Linked DNA regions of Mus musculus. The protein of the gene in region 1 interacts with the protein of each later gene in a biochemical or structural test. Links are inferred from orthologs where the notes say so. Each region holds a gene or a part of one and is shown on either strand. Other genes may lie near its edges.

Region 1 (7,939 bases):
TACAAACTAATGAGAAAAGATTGTTAGAATTTTTGCTTAATAAGGAGTAGATGGCAGAGCGGATATGTTATTTACCCAAGTTCTCACACCAGTATGTGCAAAACGAAGTAAGGTATCCTGACCACAGAGAATAGATTTCAATTTCATGTCTCCTCTCCAATCCAGACATCCATTTAAAATACAATTTGTTTTAAATAATTTCTATGGTTCCATTTTCATAAAGAATAATTTAAAAATATTCTACTAGTCTTCAAGATTACTCAAGACTCAATACTCAAAAAGTCATGTTTAATAGGGAATTTAACTTTTTCCTTTGTGGGTAATTATTTCATTTAAATTACAGTAGTTTTTCTTTTCTAATTTTTATGAAAGAACTACAAAGTAAGCTAGAAGAAATAAGAATATTTTTGTTATTGATCTAATCTGCCAATACAGATCATTAAATCAAAGAAAATGAAGATAACAATCAAACTGAGGAAGAAAAGGAGATAGTTATGGAATTTGACAGGCAACTGGAAACATGCTTGCTAAAACTGTCTCTTGCATTTTGTTCCTCTAACCTAAATAACAGAAGGAGCAAAAGGAATCTCTTAGTCTCTCTATGTCACAATGGTGCCTTTAGGCTTCATTGTATTTCTCTGGTTGTATTTGATTTTCAAAAATGGGACCAACAGTTGTACACATATAGCATATATGTCAGTTGTGATGGACACACATACAGCATATATGTCAGTTGTGATGGACACACATACAGCATATATGTCAGTTGTGATGGGCACACATACAGCATATATGTCAGTTGTGATGGACCCACATACAGCATATATGTCAGTTGTGATGGACACACATACAGCATATATGTCAGTTGTGATGGGCAGTCCTTTCTAGACTCTCCGGGGCCCTACAGACAGTGACTGCCTGTAACTACGACATGGTTTTAGCTGTGTAAATGGCACTGCTATTGCCTTTCTCCATTTATGTCAGTGTTCTAGCTGAGGCTTCCAGAGAACATTAGACATTATTCAACCTAATGATACTTTCAGTTATCGAAAATGATTTTGTTATCCTGGACTCACATTCATTCTAATGCTAAAACTATGTTTTAAAAGACTTATTAAAATAAAATACAATGTGTTAAGTAAGATTAAATAAGATTAATCAGGAAATAAAATATTTTACATTAGCAGCAATCACAATGTAGTGTTTAAGAGATCAGTCTCTTAAAGTCTCTATGGTGAGTTTCTATGTAGCTAATAACCTCACATCTTCAATGGACACAATTCCTCTATCAAAAAGAATCGTAACGGGCAGTGGTGGCACACACCTTTAATCCCAGCACTTGGGAGGCAGAGGCAGGTGGATTTCTGAGTTCGAGGCCAGCTTGGTCTACAGAGTGAGTTCCAGGTCAGCCAGGGCTACACAGAGAAACCCTGTCTCGAAAAACCAAAGGAAAAAAAAAATAAAAAGAATCGTGTGTGTATCAATACAAACCTTTTCAGTATATTATGGAAATAGCTGTGATTAAAGAAATGCAAAAGAACACCGGTTTCATTATCAAGGCAAATCAGGAGGCTCCTAATTTCAAAGTTGATAGGCTTTCCTTTCCTAGAGAGAACCTTGTGCCCACTAATTTAAATATCCTAAGGTCTCTGCTAACTCTTAGCTGAATTCAGGGCTGTTTTATATTTACTAGAATTTACTCTTGAACGAGTTACATCCTAACAGAAAGGACAAAGTTCAAGAGAAGGCAAATGAGTTTTTCAAAGTAACAAAAGATAACTTTATACACTATTTCAGAAGGTCTCACTTTAGATACTTTCCATAACAAAACTGTGACTACATACTTATTCTCCTAGTCTTTCTTTTCAAGTAAAACCAATTTGCAAAAAGGTCTTTTTTTTTTACACCAATCTCACTCACAGGAACTAAAAGTTCATGAATCTCTTCCTCTCAAGAAGTAACTGATGCAAAGATTATGCTAGAAACAAAGACAAAACTGAGCATGAAGGATTTAATTCCACTATAAAACGAATCTTGCTCTCTCCACAAAGAAACACAAGTGTATGCAATCTAACATACTAAACCAATATTCTAATGTTTTTGATGAAGGTGGCCTGCTTTTTTCTCAACTCTATAAATCTTCATTTTTACTGGACTAGAAATGCATCCCCCTACCCTCTCCCCTGTTGCACAGTTTGCACACCTGAATTTTGCATGGTCATTCTAATCTAATCGCCCCCGACCTCTTCAGAGGCTAAATTAGCATAGTTTCTAGGCAGAGAGATTCTAGGACAGGCTGTGGATTGAGTCAGAGGCACCTAAACAGCTTTCAGGGTGGTCTCTCCTTGCAAGCGGAGCCTCCCTTTTTCCCTTTGGTATTTGGGAGACTCATCAAGGATCCAAGAGGATGCACGCGGGAACCACTGCTGGCTCCTGCCGCCTTAAAAATAAACCATCGCTCCTCTTGGAGCTGCGCTTTAGCTCGAAAAAGGCTTCCCCTCGCACGCTGATTTGATCTTCAGTGCCAGCCCATGAGGTGTGCCGCGTCCTCGAGCCTAGTTTACAAGTGAGGAAAGGATCGCGTCCACAGACCCAGTCCTAAGGGCCGCCCACTGCCAGGTGGAGGAAGGCGAATGGCAGGAGTGCCACCCGCAGCCTCTCACCTGGCGGGCCATCGAGACCCCGGAGATGGGCCTGGCGGCGGCGGCCACTCACCATCTGGAACTCCCCCCAAGTCTATGTCCGCCAGGGACTGGGCCGGGACCCCAGACCCTGACGCACCTCACGCGTCCCCGCCCCCCTCACGCTCACCGTCGGACCTCGCCAGACAGCGTCTGGAAGGGACTCAGAAGCTTCGCGTCCGCCGCAGCCTGCCGGGGTCACGGATCCTTCAGTCCCGGGCGACCGTGGCGGTGATCACCCGAAGGCCCGTGAGCTCCGGGAAAAGGAAAACCTGCTCCCAGTCAATCGGCTGACATTTCCCAGCCAGCCGGAGCTCCACCCACTTCCGCCTGCCTGTCCTCCTCCTCCTCCTCCTCCTCCTTCAATCCCGCCCGGCGCCGCAGGGAGTTGTGGGTATCTGGAGGGTTGGTCCGAAATCAGAGTGGAAGAACCCAGGCAGGACTACGAGCTAGGCTCGGAACTACAATTCCCAGCAGGCAACGGGGCGTCAGAAGGCGGCTGCTGGAGAGCGGGATGCAGAACTCCGCGCGCGCGGTGGTGATGGAACGTTGCTAGTTCGCGGGTCCAACTGCTGGGGCCCCGGGGATCACTCTAAGCCGAGCGCTAAAACAGGAGTCTGGAAGGCAGGCAGCGCTTCAATTAATTCAAGCATTCAAAACTCCTGAATCAGTGGACACCATGCATAGGTAAACCGATTGCAAAAAAACCGGACAAAACATGAATGAACCGTTTGAATTCTTTTAGGCCGCGAATGTTGCTTCTTGTTCAAATAATCTGGTTATGTGAATGTTTGCTTAGAGAAAAAGGATGGATGAATGCTTTAGTGCGAATATCAATGTGGAGTTTAATTTGGCTTCCTAATTAAGTTTTCCTTCCTCTACTTTGAGTCATGGTATCAGTGCCGTCCCTCTTTTTCCCTCCACGGGAAGAAATTATTGAGGCCTTCTGCGTGACCATAAATCCCAAAGCCTTTCAAAGTATATATGTTCCCGATTTTTCTCTTTCATTCTTGTATTTCTCTCGCTTGTAGGCACGTTTAAAAAATGCAGTACTGTCACTTGCTGGGACTTTTCTCCACTCCATTCTTTACTCTTCTTTCATGCCTACCTTGGAATTATTTAGGGGTGTATTTTCAAAAGGAATAGAGAATGTCTGCCCTTCTGCAGGAAGCACCTTCAGGAGATTCCGGACCAGAGTGGCAACGTCACCACCAGCTTCACGTGGGGATGGGATTCCAGCAAGACTTCTGAACTGCTATCAGGCATGGGTGTCTCGGCCTTGGAGAAGGAGGAGGTGGACAGTGAGAACATCCCACATGGACTGCTCTCAAACCTCGGCCACCCCCAGAGCCCTCCAAGGAAACGAGTCAAGGGCAAAGGGAGTGACAAAGACTTTGTGATCATCCGTCGGCCGAAGCTTAGTCGGGAGAACTTTCCAGGTAATGCACAACACTAAGATCCAAACTGTATTGTAATGGGTTGAACTATTTTGTTTTAACTAAATTCGATTGAATTATTTCCTTGGGGAATCTTTTTGGATCGGTGCCTAAAATTGCCTAGTTTTGGTGCCTAAAATTGCCTAGTTTGGAAGTGTGGCAGTGAAATGGATTCCAGTCATTAAGTCTTCAGGAATCTTGGTTGGTCTTTATCTTGTGGTCAACAATTGACTTGAAGCTTTTTTCCTGCCCTTTTCCTTAGAAAGGAATCTTCCTGCTCAAAGTCCAGCTCAGTACACTGACATATGGGAACAGAAGCAGGGATCTTAGAGGGTCCCCTTTTGTCTCTATATACTTCTTTGTATCTGAGCAAGCTTTGTATGGTAATGACTTAGATTATTGGTAGGCACATTAGGAAGGTAAATGTTACTAAGTAGAAGAGACTTAGATTGCTCCGCTTGCAAGCAGGCCCTTGGGGGTGTGGTGTTTCCCTTACTGTGACATTGCATCTACAGTCATAGAACCCTGAAATGTGGTCTCATCCCCACTGCCCCCACTACCCAGCTAGTCACTGTGTCTTTCACTCTTGTGTGGCAGCTGTTTCAAGCTTTCATCATCTCTTCCTGGATTATTGTAATAGATTTATATTGTCAGCTTTCTTCTCAGCTCTGTCTCCAGGAGGCAGGGTGGATTGATGAGATCAGAATTTACCTGAAATTCTTCTCTCACTAGTGACTCCCACTCCTTGATTCCCCAAACATTTTTAAATAAAGCGCCTCCAGGGCAGATCCAGACTCAAGGACTGGCAGCCTTAGAGTAAATATAGTGTGTTGACCTGAGGCTTGTCAAGGTTTCCCCACCCCCACCCCCTAGTCATTTAAAAAAGTGATTCAGGGTCGGGCAGTGGTAGCACACGCCTTTAATCCCAGGATTTAGGAGGCAGAGGCAGGCGGATTTCTGAGGCCAGCCTGGTCTACAGAGTGAGTTCCAGGACAGCCAGGGCTACACAGAGAAACCCTGTCTCAAAAGAGTGATTCAGGAAGTGTTTTTGAGAGCACACTGTCCTCCACAGTATAGTGGCTCCAGATAATAGCAGTGAACAAAACAGACAAATCCTAGAACTTCCATTCTAGTGAGGAAATGCTGGAAGTCCAATGGATATGGTACTTTCTGTAACATGTTAGGCCAACGTGGCTAAAAACAAAGAGGGGGTCAAACTGAGGCAGAATGGAGGAAGTCTTGGAATCTGAAGATAGATTGCAAACTGGTTATTGGCTGACATCCTTATTTGGGCTGTGACCTTTAAGCAAAGACAAGGGGAGAATGCAGGAATACGCGTGAAAATGTCCCTTGGCATAGGGAACCTAAAGTAAAGGGAAGCCACATAAGATGCTGGAGAACAGGAAAGCAGAGTGAGAGTGGACAGAGTAGGGAGAGGTGCGGCCTCAGGTGGGGCTGATCTTTCCTCATTGGAACACTCACTCCTCTCCCCTCGTTCAGTGTCGTCCATTGAGACAGGGTTTCTTTGTTTGTAGTGTAACTCACTGGCCTCCAACTCAGACAGGCTGGCCTCCAGCTCAGAGATCTGCCTGCCTCAAGTGCTGGGATTAAAAGAGTGGACCATTGGCGCCCCGGCTCGGTGACCCCTCCAAAGGGACACATTGGTTAGCTGAGGCTGAACTGTATCGGGTAGAGGATAGGCAGCAGACCCCTAGAGATTTATGTAGAGCAGTGAGAGAATGATAAGCCGTGGTCAGGATGAAAGCAGTGGAAGAGGTGACCAAAGTCTAAACTAAAATTGGGTGAGGAATGGAAAAAGACGTTGAAGAAAGCATCAGAGTGAAGCCTTGCAAAGCCAGCGTAAAGAAATGGATTCTTCCGTCCTTCCTTCGGGCGCTGTCTGCAGACAGGGTGGTGAGCAGATCCGTGGCTTGCTTGAAAATCCCTGTTTTGTAGTCCCCTGTGGTGTCTCATGCCTTTGAACCCAGTACACCAGTGGCCAAAGCTGGCAGATCTCTGTGAATTGGAAGCTCTTTGGCCTATACAGTGACTTCCAGGACAACCAGGGCTACGCAATGAGACTCTTGTCTCAAAAAAAAAAAATTCTGTTTGGGCTTCTCAATACTTTTTTGGAAAGGGAGTCATCTTCAGGTTATAGCATGTGAGTCCACATTAATGCCAGGTATGGTGGCACGTCTCTCTGGTCCCAGTTTAAGAGGCTGTAGTCAGAAGATGGGGATTTCTAGAAAGCATGAGCCTCGCAGTAAGACTGTCTCAAAGTGAAAACATAACTGAATATATAATAATATATGAGATTAACTAGAGGGGTATGGAAGTAAGTTCAGACAAATCTACATTTAAACCTTGATGCTGCCATTGGGAGCTACCTTGGGAAGTGACTTGAACTTTCTGGGCCTTAGTTTCCTTATCTGTGAAATGGAGCAATAATTCCTACTTAAAGTGTTCATCTGAACATTGAGTAAAACTGTAAAGGTCTTAGTATGACAGTGGCTTATAATAGGTAATGGTCCACACAGTTTCTGACACTGGCTTGAGAAGCATCCTCTGTCTACAGTAATGTTAATCTGACTCTGCACATATAGAAATCTTTTTCTTTATAAAACTTAAAGTGACTCTTATTTTTAGAGCCTGGGTTTTTAACAGTAGCAATTTGGTGTTTGACCAACCAAATGTGGTGAGATAGATCCTGCTAAGATGAGTAGGTTTTGATTAACTTGCCCATTGTACATAGCTTTGGTTATAAAATATGACATCTACGTGTCCACAGATGTAGGACAAAAGTCATCTTTGAAGCAAAACACTGTGAGGACCCAGACAGAACATAAGGGAGGGTTGCTGTTTCTTAGGAGTTTCAAAATGGAGTTGAAGAGGAAGGACAAAGTATATAGCAGCTGCACACAGCTACATGCCTGCCAGGAAGACAGAGGTGTTAGTAGTAGCTCAGACCCTGAGTGTCCTCAGGGCTGGAAGGAGGGAAGGAGCCCCTTGTGCAGAAGTGACTCATTTCCCATCCCAGTGGATGTGTGGAGTCCTTGGCTACTTGGCAAAGCAAAGGTGTTGGGGAGAGAGGAACTGAACTGGTCCAATCAGTGAGTCTACGTCTGCATTTCTTTTTTCTTGTTATGTTTGGGTTTTTTTGTTTGTTTTTTGAGACAGGGTTAGCTTTGTCTTGACCATCCTGGGCTTTGTAGACTAGGCTGGCCTTGAACTCTCAGAGATCTTCCCGCCTCTGCCTTCCAAGTGGTATGATTAAAGGTGTGCACCATTACCCTGGCTTTTTTTTTTTTTTTTAAGACCAATCTTGTATACTTCTGGTTAATCTTGTATTCACTATGTAGTCTTGAAATCTCAGCATTTCTCCTGCTTCAGCCCACCTTACAAGTGCTGACAGCTTGTGAGGTATCATACATGACTCCCCCCCCCCCTTTTTTTTTAATATACTCTCATTTTGTAGTCCAGATTGACCTTGAACTCATAGCAATCCTGTCTTCGGCTTCCCTAGTGCTTAGACTATAGACAGCACAGAAATGAACCTAGACTTTAAGATTGGTGCTTAATGGGCCCAGTGGTGGTGGCGTACACCTTTAATCCCAGCACTTGGGAGGCAGAAGCAGGCGAATTTCTGAGTTCAAGGCCAGCCTGGTCTACTAAGTGAGTTCCAGGACAGCCAGGGCTACACAGAAAAACCCTGTCTCGGAAAAACAAAACAAACAAAAAACAAACAAAAGATTGATGCTTAAAATGAATATCTAAAGTGAGAGAGGAAAATAATCATGGCTTTTAGGGTGTTCGTGGTTTAGG
Region 2 (7,350 bases), on another chromosome or scaffold:
GGTTGTGAGCCACCATGTGGTTGCTGGGAATTGAACTCAGGACCTCTGGAAGAGCAGTCAGCGCTCTTAACTGAGCCATCATTCCAGCTCAGTCCAGCAATTCTTGAAGAAAAAAAAAAAAAAAAAAAAAAAAAAAAAAACGACGAAAAAACTCAAACCAAGTCTAAAGAGAAACCGGATATTCTCTGGGAAAGTGTCACAGAAAGTGTCACCAAGTGGCAGGGCCCAGTTCACAAACTGGCAGGCTGACCTCTGTCTATACAACTTGTGGCTACCACCCACAACTGAATAGCTTTTCACCACCCAAGGAAGTCTCCCATCCACGAGTGCTTCCTTCTTTTTTTCCCCCTTAAAAAAACAAAACTTTTCTTTTCAAGTAGCCCAGGTTAGCCAGGAACTAATGTAGCTGAGGGTGACTTTGAACTCCCAATCCTGTTTCTATCTCCCCTGATAGGTATGTGCTGCTATGCCTGGTGGAAGCCAGGACCTCTTGAATGTTAGACAAGAGCTTGCTCTGTCCTCTGAGGTGCAGGCCCAGCCTCTCTTCATATTTTAAAGTCCCATTGTAAAGGCAGGCCTTGGGAGGCTGAGACAGATTGCTAGGAGTTTGAGATCAGTTTTGGCTACACTGTGCTAGGGTCTCTACGGACTCTCAAGACAAAAAGCTACTGTGTGGTCTGAGAGACCAGTGGATAGCCCATAAGTTGTTATACTTGCAAAAGCCAACCTCCTCTCTCCCTCCTTATTTTTTGGAGAGGTTCTAAAAGTTTCCAAACTAATATAAGCATCAAAACTTGGGAGGTGGCACATAACTCCAATCCCAGTGCTTACGAGGTAGAGGGCTGCAGATTCCGTGAGTTCCAGTCAGCCAGGACTACAATAGTGAGATCTTGTCTCAAATAGACAAATGCATCTATGCATACAGATAGATGTATATATATGGAGGTCAGAGACCAAGTCTGGTGTTTTCTGCATTGCCCTATACCTTAATTGAGGCTTCACTGATTCAGCACATTCCCAGAGCCTCAGGGACCCTGTGGCTTGGCTCGTCCCCTAGAGCTGGGGTTACAGGCATGAGACACAGCTCTACAGTGAGTTGTAGGCCATCTGTACCTCAGGATGGTAGCACAGCCTCTCATTGACCAAACTCAAGAAGCGGGTATTTACTTATAAATTCCAGGCCAGCCAGGGCTACATGGCAATACCTTTACAAAAAGAAAGTCATGTGTGGTAGCCACACACCTCTAATGTCAGTGCTCAGGAGGCTCTGTAGCACAGATGGCCTCAAACTCACTGGAGAGCAAGGGTTTGAGCAAGGGTTTGAATTCCTGGTCTTCCACCTCCAGTGCTAGGATGACAGGTGTGCTCTACCATGCCTGGTGGAATGGAGTATGGAGCCCAGGTTTTCTGTACACCAGGCATATGCCCCAACTTAAGCTATATCCTTAACCCCATTTTGTTTCCTCTGATAGGTCTCACTCTAACTGAACTCATGGCAATCCTCCTGCCTCAGACCCCTCAAATACTGAGCTCAGAGGCCTGTCACCAGGCTACGTGGTTTTCTTTCTTTTTTTTTTTGAGACAGGGTTTCTCTGTATAGCTCTGGGGGTCCTGGAACTCACTTTGTAGACCAGGCTGGCCTCGAACTCAGAAATCCGCCTGCCTCTGCCTCCCAAGTGCTGGGATTAAAGACGCGCGCCACCGCGCCCGGCTCTACGCTGTTTTTACTCAGGGTTCTGAATCATCTGCTAGTTTCCCTGTACGTAATGCCTCCCATCCACAGCCCTCTGGATACCCGGCTCTGGGCCTCAGTTTCCCCCGAATGCTCACCTGCCCACAGTGTTTTCAGGGCCAGCAGTAGCAGCAGGGACCAGCAGACCTCCATCCTGGCACAGGATCAGTGGTCCCTGGGGGAAAGGGTTCCCCACTCTCTCTTCCTGTGGGGACAGGTGGCCTTCCCAGTACCACCCACCTTGCACAAGTGTCAACTCCTCCTACTTCACACCCTGCTGTGTGGTTTTAGAAAGCAATTCTGCTGTCAAAGCTGCCCCCTGCCTGGGGGGCAGCAACTATAGCCCAGTGATGCTCATTCTGGTGATTAGCACCAGGTAAACACTGGGTCTGTCTCAATGGACCTCAACCCCCACAGAGGATGACTCACAGGGTCAGTTCTCTCCTTGAGCCGTGTAGGTCCTGTGCTAGGCTTGGTGGCAGGCCTCTACCCACTGAGCCTTACTGCTGGCCCTGCAACTTTGTACATAAGGCTGGCTGCAAATTATACGGGTAGAGGAAGGCCTGAACTAACGCCTTTCCAACAACTTGTCCTTCTCTCATCAGTTATAAGCAGCACAGGTTCCATGAAGTGCTATTCAGTAGAGTACAGCTTTGTTCTGGAGACTGGAACTCTGGAGAGTTAACAGGCCCACGCAATGAAAGTGACACTTTCTTTTCCTTTCTTTACATGGCACCCAATGCTATTTCAGCACTGGGTCACTGTAGCCACCCTGCACAGCATGATGTGGTCAGAGCATCACTCAGCCTGTCCTTCCTGTGGGGAGTCACCAGGCTGCCTGCCACAGGGACTCCTCAGGCAGGCACTGGAGTTCCCAGGGCTGAAGAAGTGCCCAGGACACAAGGACTGCTGGGATACTAGTCCTCTGCACGCCTCAGGACCCAGGCCTTCTGACTGCAGGATGGAGGCGGACACAGACAGCCACAGTGCCAGATGCAGGAAGGTGGGATCTGCAGGCAGCAAGTTGCTTCTGGGCCTGGGGCCCCTGTACAATCCTGAGCCTTAACAGTCACTATCTCTTCCTGCCCATCCCACGGCCTTGGCCGGGCTACCCAGGTGGCCCTCAGTACCGAGTGCCACCGGCGTCCTAGGTGATTCTCTCAGCTTCTCAGAAAGCTATTTTATTTTATTTCACACACACCAAAAGCAGAGAGGAGACTGTGGTGCTGGCCTTCCTTGGGCTGGGCTGGAGTCTCTGGCTCCCCACCAGGCAGTCGGTCCCCAGCCTCCCAGGCTTGTCATCATCTGAAAGCTGAGTGGGGTGTTTGCCCTGCACCACAGCTCTTCTCCAAAGCCGAGGAAAACCCATGGGGAATACGGGGTAAGAGGACCTAAGGATCATGGGATGGGAGCCCACATGGAACCTCGGTGAGGTAGTCTGTCGCCTGAGGCCCACACGGGTCCTGCTGAGGTAAAATTTGTAAGTTTATTTCAGGGACGTGGGTCAGGACTCTTCGGTGCCAGAGTCATCCTCTTCATCCCCAAAGCAGCTGTCGGCCTCCTCCACTTCGCCGTCCTCATAGTAGTCGTCGTAGAAGAGGTCCGAGCCCTCGTCGGGCGCCGGCGCCTTGGTCTTCACGCAGTACTCGGCCAGCGTAGTGGGCACCTTCACACCATCGCGCTCCGCGTCCACCTTGGTCCCCAGGACCTGCTTCCTGGGGAGACAGGGCAGGTGAGGCCAAGGCCCAGGACAATGGGATTCCAAGAATAGACACTGAATGGAGGGCAGGGAGCAGGTGGGAGGGAATAAAGGGCGTGGGGACAAGGAGTGGCCAGTTCCCAGCAGGAAGGTAACCACAGCTGGCTGTGGGAAACAGGTTTGTCACTTAGTACTTGGAGGCTGAGGCAGGAGGCCTGCTGAGTCTCAGGGTGGCTTCAGCTGTAATAGGATCTGTCTTATGACAACAGTCATTAAAAAAAAAAAAAAAAGTGGAGGTGATGCAGTCAGAGTGTTTGTTGTGTAAGCACAAGGACCCAAGGCCAGCTCCCAGCACCACAGAAACAGCTGGGCACACCAGGATCCATGCTGTAATCCCAGTACTGTGGGGGCCACGACACTAGTTCCAGGTTAAAGAGCACACACCTACCCACATTCCACACCAACATCAAACTCCCCCAAACTGCAGCCTGACCTGAGGGGCACTCTGATGAAGGGCAGTCCCAGAAGAACCTTATGAGGTTCCAGGCCCCACAGGCCATGGATGAAGTGACAAAGATACGGGTGAAGCAACACATAAGAGCTTCCTTGCACAGGGGGCAGCAATTAAGTAAAGAAATCAGGGCCTGGGACAGAGCTTCAAGTGCCTGAGAGGTCAGGCCATCCTCAGGACAGTCGCAGTGCACAGGTCCTAATGCAAAAGGCAAGTAGAGCTGACACGGGTCTTAGCTTCCCAGAGGGAATGGGGTACAAAACAATGTTAGAGGGAAGCCTGTGACAGCAGCTCATTCTAACAGCCCAACCTGCCCTCAAGGCCCTTCTCACAGGCTCCCAGCTCTCCTGTCCTTGACTAGACACTGGCTCTCAGGTTGAATCTCAGGAGTAGTACAGGCCTCATGGTCACATTGAGTGTCTCCTGGTGTCAGAATGGTAAAAATAGCCTGGGGCTCCTGCTCTGGGACAGGGATACAGTGAGGAAGCAGCCAGGAGAGCTGGGCTAAGGGCTGCCAGGAAGCTGGAGAGCTGCTATAGCACAACACAGGGTAATCAGCCTTCTTCCCTGCCGGTGAAGAGCAGGAGGCAGAAAATTACAGGCCAGTCTCAACAGAGAACAAAGCCTTCAAGGGATCCTTGCTCACCTGCCCATTGTGAAGGTGACACCTCCATAGTACAGAGCTCAGACCTTCCTGAATAACTAATACCTCCATGCAGGACGATGGCGGCTACATGCATCTTGTTCTAAGGCCAGAGACTAACCCCAGTATCTTGCACATGTTGGACTAGCACTGACTACCAAGTTGCAGCCTATACCAATTCTGAGAAGGCAGGTTTGCCTTCTGCAGGACAAGGCCACAGGGCTCCTGCTGAGCAAGTGCTTGCCCTGTCTGTGGCTCCAGGCAACTGGCCGACAAGCATGACAACACTATAGGCCCCATGTGTTTGGGTCACTGTGTAGTCAAGCACTTGGTCACTTAAGAGGTAGCATGTGCTGTCATCCTGACATCATGAACATGAGGAGATAAGGAGTTATATGGAGGCCTGTCTCAGAAAACACAGAAGCTAGCTGGGCAGTGGTGGCGCATGCCTTTAATCCCATCACTTGGGAGGCAGAGGCAGACAGATGTCTGAGTTCGAGGCCAGCATGAGTTCCAGGACAGCCAGAGCTATACAGAGAAACCCTGTCTCAACCCCACCCCCCAAATCCCCACAAGAACAACAACAACAAAACAAAACACAGAAGCTAAGTAATAGGGGTCTGGCGAGATGGCTCAGCAGTTAAAGAGTGCCAACTACTTTTCCAAAGGTCCTGAGTTCAAATCCCAGCAACCACATGGTGGCTCACAACCATCCATAATGAAATCTGATACCCTATCCTCTCCTGGAGTGTCTGAAGACAGCTACAGTGTACTTACATATAATAATAAAATTTTGGGGAAAAAAAAAAGCTAAGTAATAAATACTAACATTCAGCATTGACTAGATAGAGGCAGGGTGTCACATGCTTAGAATCTCTCAAGTGAAACGTCATACCTAGCTTGGGGAGTGCAGAGACTGCCTGACCGCAGACAGGCGCTGAGAAGTGATGACAGACATTACCACTCACGGACTGCACAGGCTGCAGCCTGGGTCCCTGTCTCAGGACAGGCTCACAGTGGGCTCAGCGACCTCCCCACTTTGCAAAACTGCTCTAAGTTTCAGAAGCACAAATTCGAGTGATGTCAGATGGTGAGGATGTGGCCTAGAGTGCCCAGTCACTCATGGAGTTAAGCCAAACACAAGGCAAAGAGGATCTTGGCCATACTAGGTGGTCAACTCGGTGCTCTGGGGGCTACAGAGCCCTCCACACATCCAGCTGGGGATGCAAGAACAGAAACACAACAGTCCCCACCCCACCCAGGAGACACAGGTCACTCTTCAGAGCAGGCAGCATCTATTGTAGAGACCCAGCTGCACTGTTCAGGCTGAGAGCAGCGCTCACCGGATGATGTCCGTGTACTCGCGGTCCTTCCCCTTGCTCTCCTTCCATTTTCTGTACATCACCGAGGCGTCCACGTTGGCAGGCGAGAAGGTGTTGGGCTCATTCAGCAGCGAAATTACACTCAGGAGGATGGTTCTGTGGGGCCGTGGGTGCAAGCTCAGCTCCCCATAGATTCTGGGGGCTCCAGACTGGAGCGAGGAAGAAGGGACCTTAGGATACAGGGTGCCGGGGGGTGCCCATGGTACAACACCATGGCAGTTCTCACCTGACATTCTGTGTGGGGTTCCACCGCTCTGAGGGCAGCTCCCCACTCTGTGGGTCGTCAACTGGGGGATGGAGAATGGAGATGCACACGTCCCCTGTCTGTAAGAGTGACGAGGGTTAGACGAGGGGCGGGCACGTGCAAGGGAGGCAGGAGGTGTGTGTGGTGGAGTGTGCCTGAGGCAGGTATTTAGTGTCTTACCTCATAGATGTTTGGGTGCCACATCTTGGTGAGGAACCGGAAGGCTGGTGGGGAATACGGGTAGTCGATGGGGAACTTGAGGCGAGCCTACAGATGGTAGAAAATGGGGTGGCTCAATGGCAGCCCCTTGAGCACTGGAATTAGGGGTTATGCCCAACGGGGACAAAAAGCAGTGGCTGCCCCTGGTGTTCAGGTCCTGAAGCCAACCCCAGTCTCTGTACACTGGGACACACAAAGCACCTCTGTGACCTGACATGCAGGTTAGGAAAGGCCAGGCAGTAAGTATCACTTGGTGTGGGCTAGCTAGAGGAATGAGTCAGCAGATCTCCTGGACAGCCTCAGGCCTAAAACTAACACTATCCAAGCTCAGGGGCCCAGGCCAAGAATAGTCACCAGACAAGCTGGAACCATCTGCCTGGCCACAGCAGTTGCTTGTGGCTAAAAGTTCACCCTGCCAACTGCCCCCCAGACTCTGGACAGGTAGAGAAGGCCTGAGGTTTACCCTAGTCTTGGGGCTCCCCAAAGGCAGCTTCTAGTGTTCCCTGGACAAGTAGAGCCCTTAGGGAGACTGGCCTGTGACCTCAGAGCTGGCCAGGAATTCAAGCTAGAGGATCTGCTGACACACACATCCAGTGTGGCCTGTCAGCCCTGATGTCTCAGGAGAGCAGGGGAAAGTGGGATTGCTGCAACACCCCTCACGTCTGTGGCTCCGGATGCTTTATACGGATGAGCAAACTGAGGCTCAGGAACAGGAAGGGTGCTCCCAACCTCTTCCTGGACAGCCCCAAAGTGAAACAGGCTGGGCTGTCCAGACGAAGCTCCTCACAGTTGCCCCCTTACAGAGTCTCCCCATGTCTCAGCCACCCACACCATACAGGAGGCTCCCACGCTGACAGACTTGATTGACATCTTGCCGAGCATCCTAAGCTATCTCAAGAATTATGTGAGTCTAGGAGACT
Region 3 (6,483 bases), on another chromosome or scaffold:
GGGAAGGACATAAAGCAAGTATTCTTCGTGGTAAATTCCGCCATTTTAGCCAGACTTGCTGTTTTGCTCCACCCTGGGGCTAAAGTTGTGAATCAGTTCTTTGCCCTAACTTTAGTCTTTGATTAGTTTGGAATTCCAGTCCGTTCTATTTATAGCCTTTGTAGAAATGGCTGTGACAGATCGGTTTACACACCTTTACCTGGGCTTTGCCTCATGGACTTATATGTTTCTTAGAGTATTTGGAATTAAAAGCTGATACCCACCGGGCTAGAAGCAAAGTTGTATTGAAAAAGATTCCTCCTCTTTAGGTTGCTCCTCTTAAGGACCTTCCTATAAACGATGAGCATGTCACTGCTGGTCCTTCATGGAAAGCAGTCAGTAAACAGCCTGCCTTCACCATTCATGTGGATGAAGCAGAAGAGACTCAGAAGAGGCCAGCTGAGCTTAAAGAAACAGAGTGTGAAGATGCCCTGGCTTTTAATGCAGCTGTCTCTTTACCCGGAGCAAGAAAACCACTGACACCTCTTGACTATCCAATGGATGGCAGTTTTGGTAAGGTTGCTTTTTATTTTTACCAGTCTCTCTTCCTTCTTTCCCTCCTTTCTGTCTTTTTATTCCCCCTCTGGGTTTCTTGAGTATCCTTGACTGTCCTGAAACTCAATCTGTAGACCAGGCTGACCTTGAACTAAGAGATCCACCTACCTCAGCCTCCCAAGTGCTGGGATTAAAGGCATGTGCCACAACCACCAAGCCTGTGCCTTTTATTTTTGAGACAGGATCTCAACCTGTAGCTTATATCTTGATATTTTGAGTTTTAAGATTATGTCTTACCCGATCATACACAGTGAGTTAAGATTACCGCAATCTCATGACTAGTACTGACCTATGAAAGGACTCAAATCTTTAACCGGCAGGAGGGCACTGCAAACCAACATCAAGTTTAATTAGATCGTAAATATCTATCTTAATCTGACTTTATAAATGTTTGGCTAGGAGAATAGATTTCAGTTTTGTGTCTGACTCACTCCTTAACATGCCAGCCCTAAGAGTGCTCCTTGAGGCTACAGTTTTAAGCATTGTGATATCTACCATTCGTTTAAAACTTGTTTGAATGTTCATCAGCTTGTAGGTCAGACACATGGAAGGCAAAATAGCTGCGGTAGACAGCTCTGCGGTTGCTATGACATCACTGCATGGAGACCAGAGATACTGGTATCTGTCACATTCTACCTTATGCTGTGTGTGTCAGCAGAAGGGGTGTGCTTGCCTGTGCTGGTACAAGTAGAGACTAGTGGAGTACTTGACTTTGGGGTATCTTCAACCACTCTTCCATCTCATTTCTTGATAAAAGGTTTCTTTGGAGCTCAGCGATTTGGCTAGACAGCCTGGCCATCGAGGCACAGGGATATGACTATTTTCAACCCTTTTCCTCTCCCACTCCTGGGGTTACAGATAATGCTTCTGTGTGGTGCTGGGAATGCAAGCCATATCTTCATTCAGGCATATGCAGCAGGCACTGCACTAAGCCATTTCCAGCCGCTTTAGTTTACTTAGTTCTGCTGATGGGGAAGGAGGATATGGAAACAGTTTATTACACAGATTCTCCCATCTCAAGATAACTGAAATGGTAAAAACTAGAGCTGAGTATATTAATGCCTATAAACAGCACTCAGGAGGCTGAGGCAAGATTGCCAGCCTAGGGCAACAGAGTCAGTTTCAGGCCAGTTTAGCCTATAGAATGAGACCCAATTTTAACAAACACCAAGTCCCTTACAGATCAGTGTTTGGACATGATATGACAAACTTGATATCTTTACTAACATTTGTTAATCATGCCATTTACCTGATTCTAATGACTCCCTCATTATGATCTGACTATGGCAACCCATGGGATCTGCAGTCTCTCTTAAGGCAAAAATAATTATTTTAAAACTTTGCTGTTACGTTCTTGTCCTAAAAGAACCATTGTTTCATCTGCTCATCTCTGTGGAGGATGATACTTTAAAGTAATTCTCCGTCTTCTTAGTAGCCTATTGGTGTACATACATGCATACATTTATTTCTGTTTTGGAACTAAGGTTATCCTAGAGCTTTGACAAAAGTCCTAAAACCAGAATTAGATGTTCTATGTTGCTTTGCTATTAGGGTGTTTTTGATTGGAAGAGATAAATACTTTGGTTTTAATCTCACACACACAGAATCACCACATGCTATGGATATGTCTATTGTCTTAGAAGACAAGCCAGTGAACGTTAATGAAGTACCTGACTATCAAGAAGACATTCACACGTACCTTAGGGAAATGGAGGTAAGGCTCTGCTCATTACAAATGGCTAAGTGAAGCAGAGAGGGTAATGCTGACGCCTGCTAACTACTAGCAAGTTACTCTAAACTTAAGATTATGGTGTATGCTTCTTTGTGAATGATGAAGTCACCTGATAATTATGTTAACTCTGATTCCCCCCCCCCCCTTCAGGTTAAATGTAAACCTAAAGTGGGTTACATGAAGAGGCAGCCAGACATCACTAACAGCATGAGGGCCATCCTTGTGGACTGGCTGGTTGAGGTGGGAGAAGAATATAAACTACAGAATGAGACCCTGCATTTGGCTGTGAACTACATTGATAGATTCCTCTCCTCCATGTCTGTGTTAAGAGGGAAGCTTCAGCTTGTAGGCACGGCTGCTATGCTGCTAGCTTCGTAAGTCCACCTAGTTTGGTTCAGAGTCATCATTCACTACTACTCCCCCCACACCCCCATTTATATATTTTTTGGATGTTTTGCCTGCATGTATATCTGTAGCACATGTGAGGTCCCTGCTGAGGCAGAAGAGGTCATTGGGTCCCCTAAGCTTGGTGTTATATACTGTTAAGAGCACCATGTGGGTGCTGAGAATTGAACCTGGGTCCCAGCCAATACTCTAACCATTGTACCATCTCTTCAACACCCAGTTTTAGGAATGGCTGTGGGATGATTCTGAACAGAGAGTGAAACTTATTTTCTAATCTAATATATAAAGCTTTCTAGATCTGGATTTCACATGCCTTGAATGAGCATAGGCCAACCACATTTTATCACACTAGATTGAGTTTGAAAGTGTGGCTCTTCTACAATAAAGTGCTTTCTGGGGTATAAGCTGTATCTTCCTTCTATCAGGAGATATTGTATGCAGGGGGCGAATCAGAAGTCCTTTAGTGACTTGGGCCTTTGAATTGGTTTTAACCATCTCAGCTAGAGATGTCAGTCAGCTGTCAGTGGGATGTGGTTGATGGAAGTGAGTGGAGTCTACAGTCTTTGCACTTCAGATTAAGACAAGACCTTCTGAATAAACTCACTCACAACTGCTTTTGTTATAGGAAGTTTGAAGAAATATACCCCCCAGAAGTAGCAGAGTTTGTGTATATTACAGACGATACCTATTCCAAGAAGCAGGTTCTGAGAATGGAGCACCTAGTATTGAAAGTCCTTGCTTTTGACTTGGCTGCACCAACAGTAAATCAGTTCCTTACCCAGTACTTCCTGCACCTGCAGCCTGCAAACTGTAAGGTTGAAAGCTTAGCAATGGTAAGTCCAGTTTGGGGGTTGTTTTTAGGTTGCAATTAAGGGGCAAGCACTGGTTTCGTCAAATAACACTGCTTAAGTCTTTTCGGACAGTTAATGCTCCAATACACAGAAAATGCTATGGCCCTCTCTACCTGTGGGCTCTGCACTTATGGTATAATAAACAGGCATTAAACGTAGCTGCCCATGTACTGGATAAGCACACACCAATCATATGTGTATTGTCTATTTTGTTTTACAAGTAATTCAGTGATATTCTATGTATATAGCATTAACTTATGAAAATAGCATGCATCTTTTATATGTAAGAGATTTAAGTATCTAGTGTCCATGGATAGGGGCTGAGAGGTTCAGGAGAGAACTTCCCAATGAATACACAAAAGTGACCATGCTGGAAAGGCGCTAACTAGTGGCTTAAAGAGAACAACCTAGTATATTAGGGGAGAGAAATGTAAGCTGAGAATAGAGGAAAACATTGAAATAATTTTCCCAGGGCTGATACAGAACCAGTGAGATCCAAGACAATGGAAACTGGTCAGGAAGCAAGGATTCAAAATCTTGAGTCTTATGTGTGATTATAAAAGTTGGGGTTTTGTTTTGTTTTTTATTTCAGTTTTTGGGAGAACTGAGTTTGATAGATGCTGACCCGTACCTTAAGTACCTGCCTTCACTCATTGCTGGAGCTGCCTTCCACTTGGCTCTCTACACAGTCACAGGACAGAGCTGGGTGTGTATTACCAGTTGCCTTCTCCAGTATGGGTGCCGCTTTGATTTGGGCTGAAAGCTTAGCTGTAAAGGTGCACTGAAAGCTCTGCTTCAAGAATCTGAGCCTTCCACCTGCTGCAAGCAGGGGAAGTAAACAGCCAAAATAAAAGATGGAGTGAGTGAGCTGAAACAGGGGGGACACCCTGAGTGAAGAATTGAGGAGGGAGCAACATTTAGAAATAACAAAACATCCTGTCAATGATTAGTGCCAATATTTAGATCAACTGTGAGCTTGTGGTCAGTGCCCTGTGCTGTTACAAAAAACTCAATGGTTGTCCCTTCCCTAGCCTGAGTCATTGGCACAACAGACTGGATATACCCTGGAGAGTCTTAAGCCTTGTCTTGTGGACCTTCACCAGACCTACCTCAAAGCGCCACAACATGCCCAACAGTCAATACGGGAAAAGTACAAGCATTCAAAGTAAGAATCCAATTCTTGTTGAATACAGTAACCTGCCACTACCTCAGTTGGCTCTTAAGTCATGTATTAGGAAGCTTTTGTGCCTTTGCTTCTGGTAAGAGAAGGGTAAGGGGGCAGATGTATGTGCTCTACGTATCAAATGTTTTTAAATTCATAATCAAGTAAAAGTAGCATTTCTCCAGTCTTGGGGTACATGAATTGTTCTGTAATCTCCCCAATGAATGTTTACTAAAAGTTTTTTTTTTCTCTGCTCAACAGATATCACAGTGTTTCTCTTCTCAACCCACCAGAGACACTAAGTGTGTGAGTGAAAGACTGCCGGCTTTGTTTGAAACAGGAGTCGCTCGGAGTCCATGCTGTACAGTTTTTATGTCGGGTTTTAGTTTCACAATCACTTCTGAATGTAGATGGTATAGCCACAGACAAATTATGGTATCCATTGCTTTTAAAATGGTTTTAATTTGTATATCTTTTGTACATGTGTCTATTTGGATAATTTTAATTGGTTAACATTGGTGCTGCCAACTGTCAAGATATTGAGAATAAACTGATTTGGAAATCTTTGCAAGTCAAAGTTAATCTGAGATAAAAATATGAATGATGTCGTTTAGAAACTAACTTGATTTGTTTTATTGTACAGTGGGGAGTAGGAAAAGATTTTATAAAACTAAAATATTTCAGGGAAAAAGACCTTCAAATTCTGGCATTGATTGATTATTCTAAGCAACCAAACCAAACTGCTGACTTGTTCATAAATAACCAAAAGTAGACAAACTGTTTTCAATGTAGCAGAACTCATTCGGCTCTCAGATGTTACAGTAGTTTATGGAGACATTTTATTTATCAACTTTAACAAATAAGGTCTTACATGAGTTGGGAAGCTTGTGCAACAGAAAAGTTTTCCAGAAAGTTTATTCAAAGCATAATGTTAAAGACAAACAGTGTATCAAGAAGTTCAGCTTGTAAGATACCCAGAGCTGTTAGCACTGAGTATGTATACACACACACACACACAGAGATCCACCACTTTAGCTTAGTTAGCAGTTCTCTTCTTCTTCTTCCTTTTCCCTTGGCCTTTACTTGGTGCCTTCTGGTTTGCACTGGTCTGAGCTCTGTGAATGAAGTAATATAACAGCTCACTGTATCCCATCTGTCCTGGATTGGGTCACTGGGACTCTGAAAGGTGCCCCATTTTATAGAACCAGCTTTTAATGTATATTTGAAAGAGGCCAGAAATTTGTTACCTTATTTTCTTTGGGTTCTTCTCTGGCTCCAAAATAATCATTTCTTCTTCTTCACTATCTGATAGCACTATAGGGGCACCTTTGGAAAAGTCCAAAAAAGGAGTTTACTGCTTAAGCACATCAGAGGTCCTAACGCTCCCATCTCCAGGCTAAGGGAGCTCCCAAGCTCTACTGCCCGGAGGCTGACACTCTTTCCGAATCTTACCCTGTTCTAAGTAAGTAGCTCCTTGCAGCTCTGAAAATTTGTAAAAATTGATGTTTTCTATAAACTCTTTCTTTCCTTTTTCCCCAGAGGACATGTAGGCCAGAATGCTCTAATTCTTGCTACCAGGACTGCCCATGAAAAATGTAGAAAACTGCTTTGTTTGCCCATTTTTCTCTTGAACAGTAATTATATATGTGTGTAAATAAAGCATGCAAATTAACCCTTTACCCATTTGGTGGGCTGTGTGTTGTCTCATCTTTATTCACATGTTTTAGGAAAGCTCTACC
Region 4 (7,146 bases), on another chromosome or scaffold:
CTTACGTGGCCTCAGCAAGGATCTGTAATGACGTGTGTCTCAACCAGTATTTCATTGGCTGCTCCATTTCTTCTGTCCCTCCTAATGTGGTGTTTGCCAGATCTTTCTAATGCAGCATGGTATCATAATATGAGAAGATCCTTGCATGCAGAGAGAGCTTCTATTATCTCTTTGCCTCCAGCAATGGCTGGGGACTATAGTTATGGCTGCAGTGGGGGAGCGGCCTATCTCCAAAGTGGCTGGTGACACCTTTGGCCTTCATCAAAGATAAAGCTGAGCAAGACCAGTATTCTGTTGGCCTCATCTCTCTTCTCCCAAAGGCTAGTGGTGACTGTAGAGCAGGGAGAGACAAATGGTTGTGAGGAATGTCTTCTGAGCAATGATGTTCTGCCAGCTAGGGCTGCAGCAATGTGCAGTTCTCGGCAGGACCCCAGTAGACATTTTGTTGTTGTTGTTTTTTTAAAAAGGGGGGGGTCAGTTTTTTTCCTGTTTAAAAAAAAAAAAGTAGCCCCTACAGAAGAAAAATGCATCCCATATTTTTTTCTCCCATTTTCTTCAGCAAGTTGTTTTAGTTGTCATTATTGAATTGAGTTCAGCCCAGTGTCTCAACTTTGAGCCAGTGAGAGTCCTCATATTAAATTCAATGATACTGAAAGCCCACAAAGATTTTTGATTCTTATCTTCAGCTACTATTTTTGGTTTTGAAAAAGGGTCCCTAAATGTAACTCAGGCTGACCTTGAACTCAATGATCCCTTTCCCCAGCCTCCAGAGTGCTGGGCTAGAAGCACGCACACTACCACCACTTCAGTTGCTCTGAATGACTGCATGTCCATTCTCCTGTTAGCCTTCTTCACAAACCTTTTCATTTTATTGTATTTGGTTTTTTGTTTTTGAGATGGCTCCCACTGTAGTAGCCTTGGGTGACCTGGAGCTCACTATGTACCAGGCTGGTCTCAAACTCAAAAAGATTGCCTGAGCACTTCTGAGTGCTGAGATTAAATGCAGGAGTCATCATATCCATCAAGACATAACTTTTTTCAGAACGCTAGTCAGCCATTTTTCTACTTGTTTTGCATAAGGAAGAACTATGGTATGAGGATAAAAGGTGGTAAGCCACAGTTGCAGTTGATCTCAAAGTCAGGCTGATCTGGCACCGTATAAAACTTCATATACACTCAAAACCAGACTTAATTATTCTGCCTTATCCACTGGCTTCTTAAAAAGCCAACTTTGAAGCCCTTTTGTCTGTTGAAGGCACACTTAATTTGTCTATGAACTGCAGGTTGGAAACTACTAAATTTATCTCTAAAGGCCTGCTCCCAGATGTGCCAGCCACCTGGCTGTGGAGGGCGACACCTAGCTTGTACCTTCAAAAGAACTTGGTCTTGATTGAAGTATGGTGGTAATTGTGAACCTTTTGAGTCAGGGCCGGTGATGCTATACCAAACATACAAAGCCAGAGCTGAAAGGAAGCTGCCTTTCTCGCACAGCTGGCAGGCGCTGTTGTGGGTAATTTGCATGCTCAATTCTTTCTACATTGAGCAGAGAGAAGCTTTCTGCAGCACTGGTTGGAAATCAGGGGTTCCTGTGAAAATGGTCTGGGTGCCGCAAGCCACCCAGGTTCAATTCAGGAAAACATCCCCAGGCATATCCGTTTTGTTTAATGGTCTCTGCTTAAAATAAGATAGCTGTTGGTGCTAGGTACAGTTATGAGGTGAGGCAGGAGGATCATGAGTTAGAAACCATTGAACTGCATAAGCAAGACTGGAACTCAGAAATCCGCCTACCTCTGCCTCCCAAGTGCTGAGTGAGATTAAAGTTGTGTGCCACCACTACCCAGCTAATTTATTTTTAAGTATGAATGCTTTGCCAATCTGTATGTCTGTCGCATGTTTGTACCTGGTGCTTGCAGAAGCTAGAGAGGGTGTTGAATCTTCTGATTACTTCTACTAGAGTAACGTGGGCTATTGAATAGGATATGAAATCACTTCTTTGGACTCATTAGTTTGATCTGTGATCACAACTTAGTGCTAATGAGGTAGCAATTTGTCTCGCTTTGAGTTAGGGGAAACCAAATGAAGCTGTTCCATTTATATGACTACTCTTTTTTTGTAATATAAGTTACTTTTTTTTTTAAGGTGTATTTATTTACATGAGTACACTGTAGCTGTCTTCAGACACACCAGAAGAGGGCATCAGATCCTATTACCGATGGTTGTGAACCACCATGTGGTTGCTGGGAATTGAACTCAGGACCTCTAGAAGAGCAAACAGTTAGTGCTCTTAACTGCTGAGCCATCTTTCCAGCCCCATAAGTTACTTTTTGTGTCCAGTTGGCCACCTGAGTATTTCAGTTGATGTCCCTGTTTCTGAAGTTAGTTACAGAAGTGTCATGGAGTCTTTGAGGCATGCCTTTGGCTTTTGTGTCTTCATACTGCCTCCATTTTAGCCGAGGCCAGCATATCAAGCCCAGTAATCTCCCAGTCCATGAATGGACAAGTTGCTGGTTTGCCTCCAAACAATTGGCATGTGTTCTATTGGCAGCCCTGGGATGATAATTCAGCATGCGTGGACCCCTGCTCTTTCATCCCCACCCCTAACAAAGAAGAGGACAATGAGCTTGAATACCCCAGGACTGCATTTCAGCCTCGGAAAATCAGACCACCCAGAGCCTCCCCACTTCCCGTCTTGAAGTAGGTGTTGACTTTGACCCATGGCTTCTCAGTGTCATTGGTCTTTCTGGTCTACATTACTGTGGGTGCAGACTGACATCTATCTATCTGAGTTTTTCATGTTTCTTGTTCTTTCTTTTTACAGTTGGGGCAATAGAGAAGAGGTTTGGAGGATCATGTTAAACAAAGAAAAGACTTACCTGAGAGATGAGCACTTTCTGCAGCGTCATCCTCTCCTGCAGGCGAGGATGAGAGCAGTTCTTCTGGATTGGCTAATGGAGGTGAGCTTGGAGGTTCCGGCTGCTGGGGCATCACCACTGTTACCTTTCTCTGTGCTGCTGCAGTCTCTGTGTGCTCTCTAAACTGTTGAAGTTTCTGAAATAATCTTGTCCCTTAGACATATTAAAGTTGGCATTTCATTGTTTTTCCTATCTAAGTGTGAACAGTTACAAAGTTTGTTTTTCTAATAAGTTATTAATTACAAATTAATGTCTACATATATTTATATATGCTAAATTGTTTTAAAGATGTCTACTGGAGGGCTGGAGAGATGGCTCAGCAGTTAAGAGTACTGGCTGCTCTTCCAGAGGTCCTGAGTTCAAATCCCAGCAACCACATGGTGGCTCACAACCATCCATAATGAGATCTGATGCCATCTTCTGGTGTCTGAAGACAGCTACAGTGTACTTACATATAATAATAAATCTTAAAAAAAAAAGCTGTCTACTGGAATGCACATACTAGCTGTGCAGCGGTCACTATCATTAATTATAGGCATATATGAACAGGTTATGTGCAGCAGTCAGATCTCAGATGTGCTTATTTGAATTCCCGGGATCCATTCTTTACCCCCCAGAAGTATTTCTTAATAGACTGTCTTGTTCTAATCACATTGGGAATCCACTTCCCTAGTTCTGTGCAGTGGTTAATCAATGAGCAAGCACATGAGGCTGGAGTAGTCTGCCTGCATAGTCTAGGCCTGTGGCTCCATTCCAGACAGCTCAAACAAATAAAAGAACCCTCCATATTGCAGATTTTTTAAAGTATGACAGATTAACTAGCTAATCACTAAACTTTTTAAAATGAAATTTCAAGGCTGGGCCCAGCTGTGAGTAGTCTGATGGTCTAGCATGCATGACACCCTAGGTTTAATCCTCAGTAGTACCAAAAGAAAGTGAAATTTGATGAGTGGTGCACCTCTTGCTGGGGGTAAACGTTGAGTGACTTGTAGTGCTTGGATTCAAGGGAACTTCCGGGGTACTTATAGTGAGGAAGAAATGGCATTTTCTGCTGAGAAGTGGAAGAATCATGTTGGCAGGTTTACCTGTATCCCTACTTTATATGATATGCAGCCTGTTGGGACCGAACCTAGAATCATGCTCTGCATTCTCTGCTGACTTGTCGCTTCAGGGGCCTGGCTCAGACAAATTGCTTACATTTTGAGTCTGTTTTATTTTAGATAGGCTCTCATGTAGCCCAGGCTGACCTTGAACTTGCTATGTAGTTAGAGGTAATATTAAACTTCTACCTCCTCCTCCCAAGTAGTGGGATTATAAATATATACCACCACAAGTGGGTCTCTCTTTTCTTTTTAAAAAAAAGATTTATATGTATGTCTGTGTGCCACTGTGTTTATATACTCACAGAGGTCCCAAGAGGACGTCATCTAGAATTACAGGCAGCTGTGAGCCCATCTGTGTGTGCTGGGAACCGAACTCAGGTCCTAGAGAGCAGCACGTGCCCACTGAGCTGTTTGTCCAGCTCCAGTCTGCTTGCTTGTCTCTAGCATCTTCAGGAAGTAGGTTGCAGAGTTGTACAGATTAGACATACTGTATAAGCCAGGTGTTATGGCACAGCCTGTTGACTACATCCTCACTACTGCAGAAAGAAAGAAAAGCTGCTGACAGTGCTGGTGGACACTCGAGGAGGCAGAGGCAGGTGGAGCTCTGAGGTCAAGGCCAGCCTGGGCTACAGAACAAGTTCCATTTCTCGCCAGGGCTACACAGTGAGACCCTATTTCAAAAAGAAAATGTAACTGGTATTGTTCAGCAGTGAAGACTATACCAGTTCTTTTTCTGAGTCACGGTGAAACCTGTGAAGGGGGTTGCATTCTTAGAACTGTAGACTTTGTGGAGTGGTCTCTATAAAAGTGCTACTTTGGTCAGACCTAGCCTGGCTGATTTGCTCTTGCTGTTTGTGTAAGTCATAGTGTGCTCAGTTCCTGGGTCTCACTGGGCTGTGCTTAGGAGGAGTAGGGTGACAGCCTTGCATAAAAGCAGTTAGCTTTCTTACTGTGTCAAAAGTCAGGCAAGTTCGCTTGTGCTGCCCCTCAGGAGCCTTTTCTAACATGGAATCCTTTTCCCAGGTGTGCGAAGTCTATAAGCTCCACAGAGAGACGTTCTACTTGGCACAGGACTTCTTTGATCGTTACATGGCATCACAACATAATATCATAAAAACACTTTTACAGCTTATTGGGATTTCAGCCTTATTTATTGCTTCAAAACTTGAGGTAAAAAAAAACAAAAACAACAACAACAACAAAACCTCCCTAACATTCTTTGTGTGATAAGCATTATTTCTTAAATTCTGCCCCTATGAACAACTGTCATATGCACCTTGAATTCTCTTAACTCTGACGCTTCTAAGTTAAGGTAGACAGTGTCAGGTGGAGGCGGGTAAGGAACAAGGCCATAGATCATTTAGTTTAGTAGCTACTTTAACCATAATTGACCTTGGGACTGAAGAGATTGAAATTGTGGCATAGTGGTTTCCCACTTGGGATCCTAACACTTAGACAGCTAAGGTAGAATGGGCAGTTTGAGGCCTGCATGCCCTCAAAATAATATAAAAAGGGTTGTCGTGGGGTTCTTTATAGACTATAGGGTGAATGAAGAAGTCTAAGCAGTTTATCCATGAGTCTTTTTGAGACAGAATCTCTGTAGCTCTAGCTTGCTTGGATCCAGCAGCCTCTGGAGTTGTGACATTAAAGGCCACCACAGCCAGCTAGCTTTACTTCTTATAGCTAGCATGCTTTCAGTTGCTGAAGTGAGCCAGTGTTGAGCCATTGATTGTATCCTCTTTCCACGTCAGCATACTAGAGCCATTTTGGATGCATGTCCTAATCTGAAAGTGCTAGGAACGGTTTCTTCTAATAGCATCTTCCTTCTGTTCCCTTTTAGGAAATCTACCCTCCAAAGTTGCACCAGTTTGCTTATGTTACAGATGGCGCTTGCTCCGGGGATGAAATTCTTACCATGGAATTGATGATGATGAAGGCAGGTTACACATTAATATCGTGTGTGTGTGTGTGTGTGTGTGTGTGTGTGTGACAGAGAGACAGAGAGAGACTGTCTTTCCCTTGCAAGGTGTGGTGTGCCCACCACCACCGTGGGTCTTATCCAGTTAGCCATGTGGCAGGGACTATGGCTGAGCTTTTCACAACTGTCACTTCTTTCCTTTAGGCCCTTAAGTGGCGTCTAAGCCCTCTGACCATTGTGTCCTGGCTGAATGTCTATGTCCAAGTGGCCTATGTCAACGACACGGGTGAGGTGCTGATGCCTCAGTACCCACAGCAGGTCTTCGTGCAGATCGCAGAGGTATGTGGACCTTCTGCTTGCCCACTGTGTGTTTGTGTGGCACACCACAGCTCAGGGGCTTCTAGAAGCTTCATGTGGCATCTTGTCTTAGTGCTCCTGTCTTCCTTAGCTTCTAGACCTGTGCGTCCTGGATGTTGGCTGCTTAGAATTTCCTTATGGTGTCCTCGCTGCTTCTGCTTTGTATCATTTCTCCTCACTGGAGTTGATGCAGAAGGTCTCAGGTATGTTGGGCTTTCCTGTGAGTTCACAGACAAGGTGTCTTCAAGGTACAAGCCAGCTATCAGCTGCGGACTGAGCCTCTGACTTCTTTACTGGCAGGTTATCAGTGGTGCGACATAGAGAAGTGTGTCAAATGGATGGTTCCGTTCGCCATGGTTATCCGGGAGATGGGAAGTTCCAAGCTCAAGCACTTCCGGGGAGTCCCCATGGAAGACTCCCACAACATCCAGACCCACACCAACAGCTTGGATTTGCTGGTCAGTAATCTCCTTGCTCCCTCCCATCAGACAAGTACTTAACCAACTCTGCCTAAGGAAAAGCCAGTTCTAACTCCATTAAGAATGTTTCTAGTCCATAGAGTCTGTGTCTCAGTATGCGAATACTATAGACATTAGGTGAGAGGGGGTTGTTTACTGAGACCAGTTCTTACTAGATATAGCCCAGGCTGACCTTGAACTCAGAAGTCTGACTCCCCTCAAGTGGTAGGATTTGCCACCAAGCCTAACTATAATTTTTGCTATTTCTCCCTCTTGCCTCCATATTAAAAACATACAGCAAGAAAAACGACACTTTGTTTAACTTTGACAACTTTCCCTCTTATTCTTATGTAGGACAAAGCCCAAGCAAAGAAAGCCATATTGTCAGAACAGAATAG

The links.
Region 2: the proteins of Skp2 (region 1) and Cdc34 form a complex in vitro, tested with the Homo sapiens proteins (3 studies listed by BioGRID, with this or other methods). The link is inferred for Mus musculus from reciprocal best matches to the Homo sapiens genes SKP2 and CDC34.
Region 3: the proteins of Skp2 (region 1) and Ccna2 are reported together in a solved structure, tested with the Homo sapiens proteins (2 studies listed by BioGRID, with this or other methods). The link is inferred for Mus musculus from reciprocal best matches to the Homo sapiens genes SKP2 and CCNA2.
Region 4: the proteins of Skp2 (region 1) and Ccne1 form a complex in vitro, tested with the Homo sapiens proteins (2 studies listed by BioGRID, with this or other methods). The link is inferred for Mus musculus from reciprocal best matches to the Homo sapiens genes SKP2 and CCNE1.

Annotation. Positions count from the first base shown.
Region 1 is NC_000081.6:9,135,613-9,143,551, reverse strand, and holds the start of Skp2 (S-phase kinase-associated protein 2), read left to right. Parts: upstream 1-3,097; 5' UTR 3,098-3,360; coding exon 3,361-3,368; intron 3,369-3,848; coding exon 3,849-4,120; intron 4,121-7,939. UniProt on the Homo sapiens protein: Substrate recognition component of a SCF (SKP1-CUL1-F-box protein) E3 ubiquitin-protein ligase complex which mediates the ubiquitination and subsequent proteasomal degradation of target proteins involved in cell cycle progression, signal transduction and transcription.
Region 2 is NC_000076.6:79,683,946-79,691,295, reverse strand, and holds the end of Cdc34 (ubiquitin-conjugating enzyme E2 R1), read right to left. Parts: intron 6,479-7,350; coding exon 6,392-6,478; intron 6,292-6,391; coding exon 6,194-6,291; intron 6,064-6,193; coding exon 5,929-6,063; intron 3,448-5,928; coding exon 3,237-3,447; 3' UTR 2,898-3,236; downstream 1-2,897. Other genes in the region: Gzmm (granzyme M isoform 1 precursor), read right to left, coding at 1,831-1,885. UniProt on the Homo sapiens protein: E2 ubiquitin-conjugating enzyme that accepts ubiquitin from an E1 ubiquitin-activating protein, and catalyzes its covalent attachment to other proteins by an E3 ubiquitin-protein ligase complex. In vitro catalyzes 'Lys-48'-linked polyubiquitination.
Region 3 is NC_000069.6:36,564,805-36,571,287, reverse strand, and holds the end of Ccna2 (cyclin-A2), read left to right. Parts: intron 1-308; coding exon 309-552; intron 553-2,198; coding exon 2,199-2,308; intron 2,309-2,476; coding exon 2,477-2,700; intron 2,701-3,356; coding exon 3,357-3,564; intron 3,565-4,174; coding exon 4,175-4,288; intron 4,289-4,613; coding exon 4,614-4,747; intron 4,748-5,005; coding exon 5,006-5,054; 3' UTR 5,055-5,780; coding exon of another isoform or gene 5,781-5,859; 3' UTR 5,860-5,991; coding exon of another isoform or gene 5,992-6,070; 3' UTR 6,071-6,423; downstream 6,424-6,483. Other genes in the region: Exosc9 (exosome complex component RRP45), read right to left, coding at 5,781-5,859, 5,992-6,070. UniProt on the Homo sapiens protein: Cyclin which controls both the G1/S and the G2/M transition phases of the cell cycle. Functions through the formation of specific serine/threonine protein kinase holoenzyme complexes with the cyclin-dependent protein kinases CDK1 or CDK2.
Region 4 is NC_000073.6:38,098,594-38,105,739, reverse strand, and holds part of Ccne1 (G1/S-specific cyclin-E1), read left to right. Parts: intron 1-2,545; coding exon 2,546-2,694; intron 2,695-2,818; coding exon 2,819-2,954; intron 2,955-5,038; coding exon 5,039-5,185; intron 5,186-5,855; coding exon 5,856-5,951; intron 5,952-6,137; coding exon 6,138-6,272; intron 6,273-6,381; coding exon 6,382-6,493; intron 6,494-6,590; coding exon 6,591-6,748; intron 6,749-7,102; coding exon 7,103-7,146. UniProt on the Homo sapiens protein: Essential for the control of the cell cycle at the G1/S (start) transition.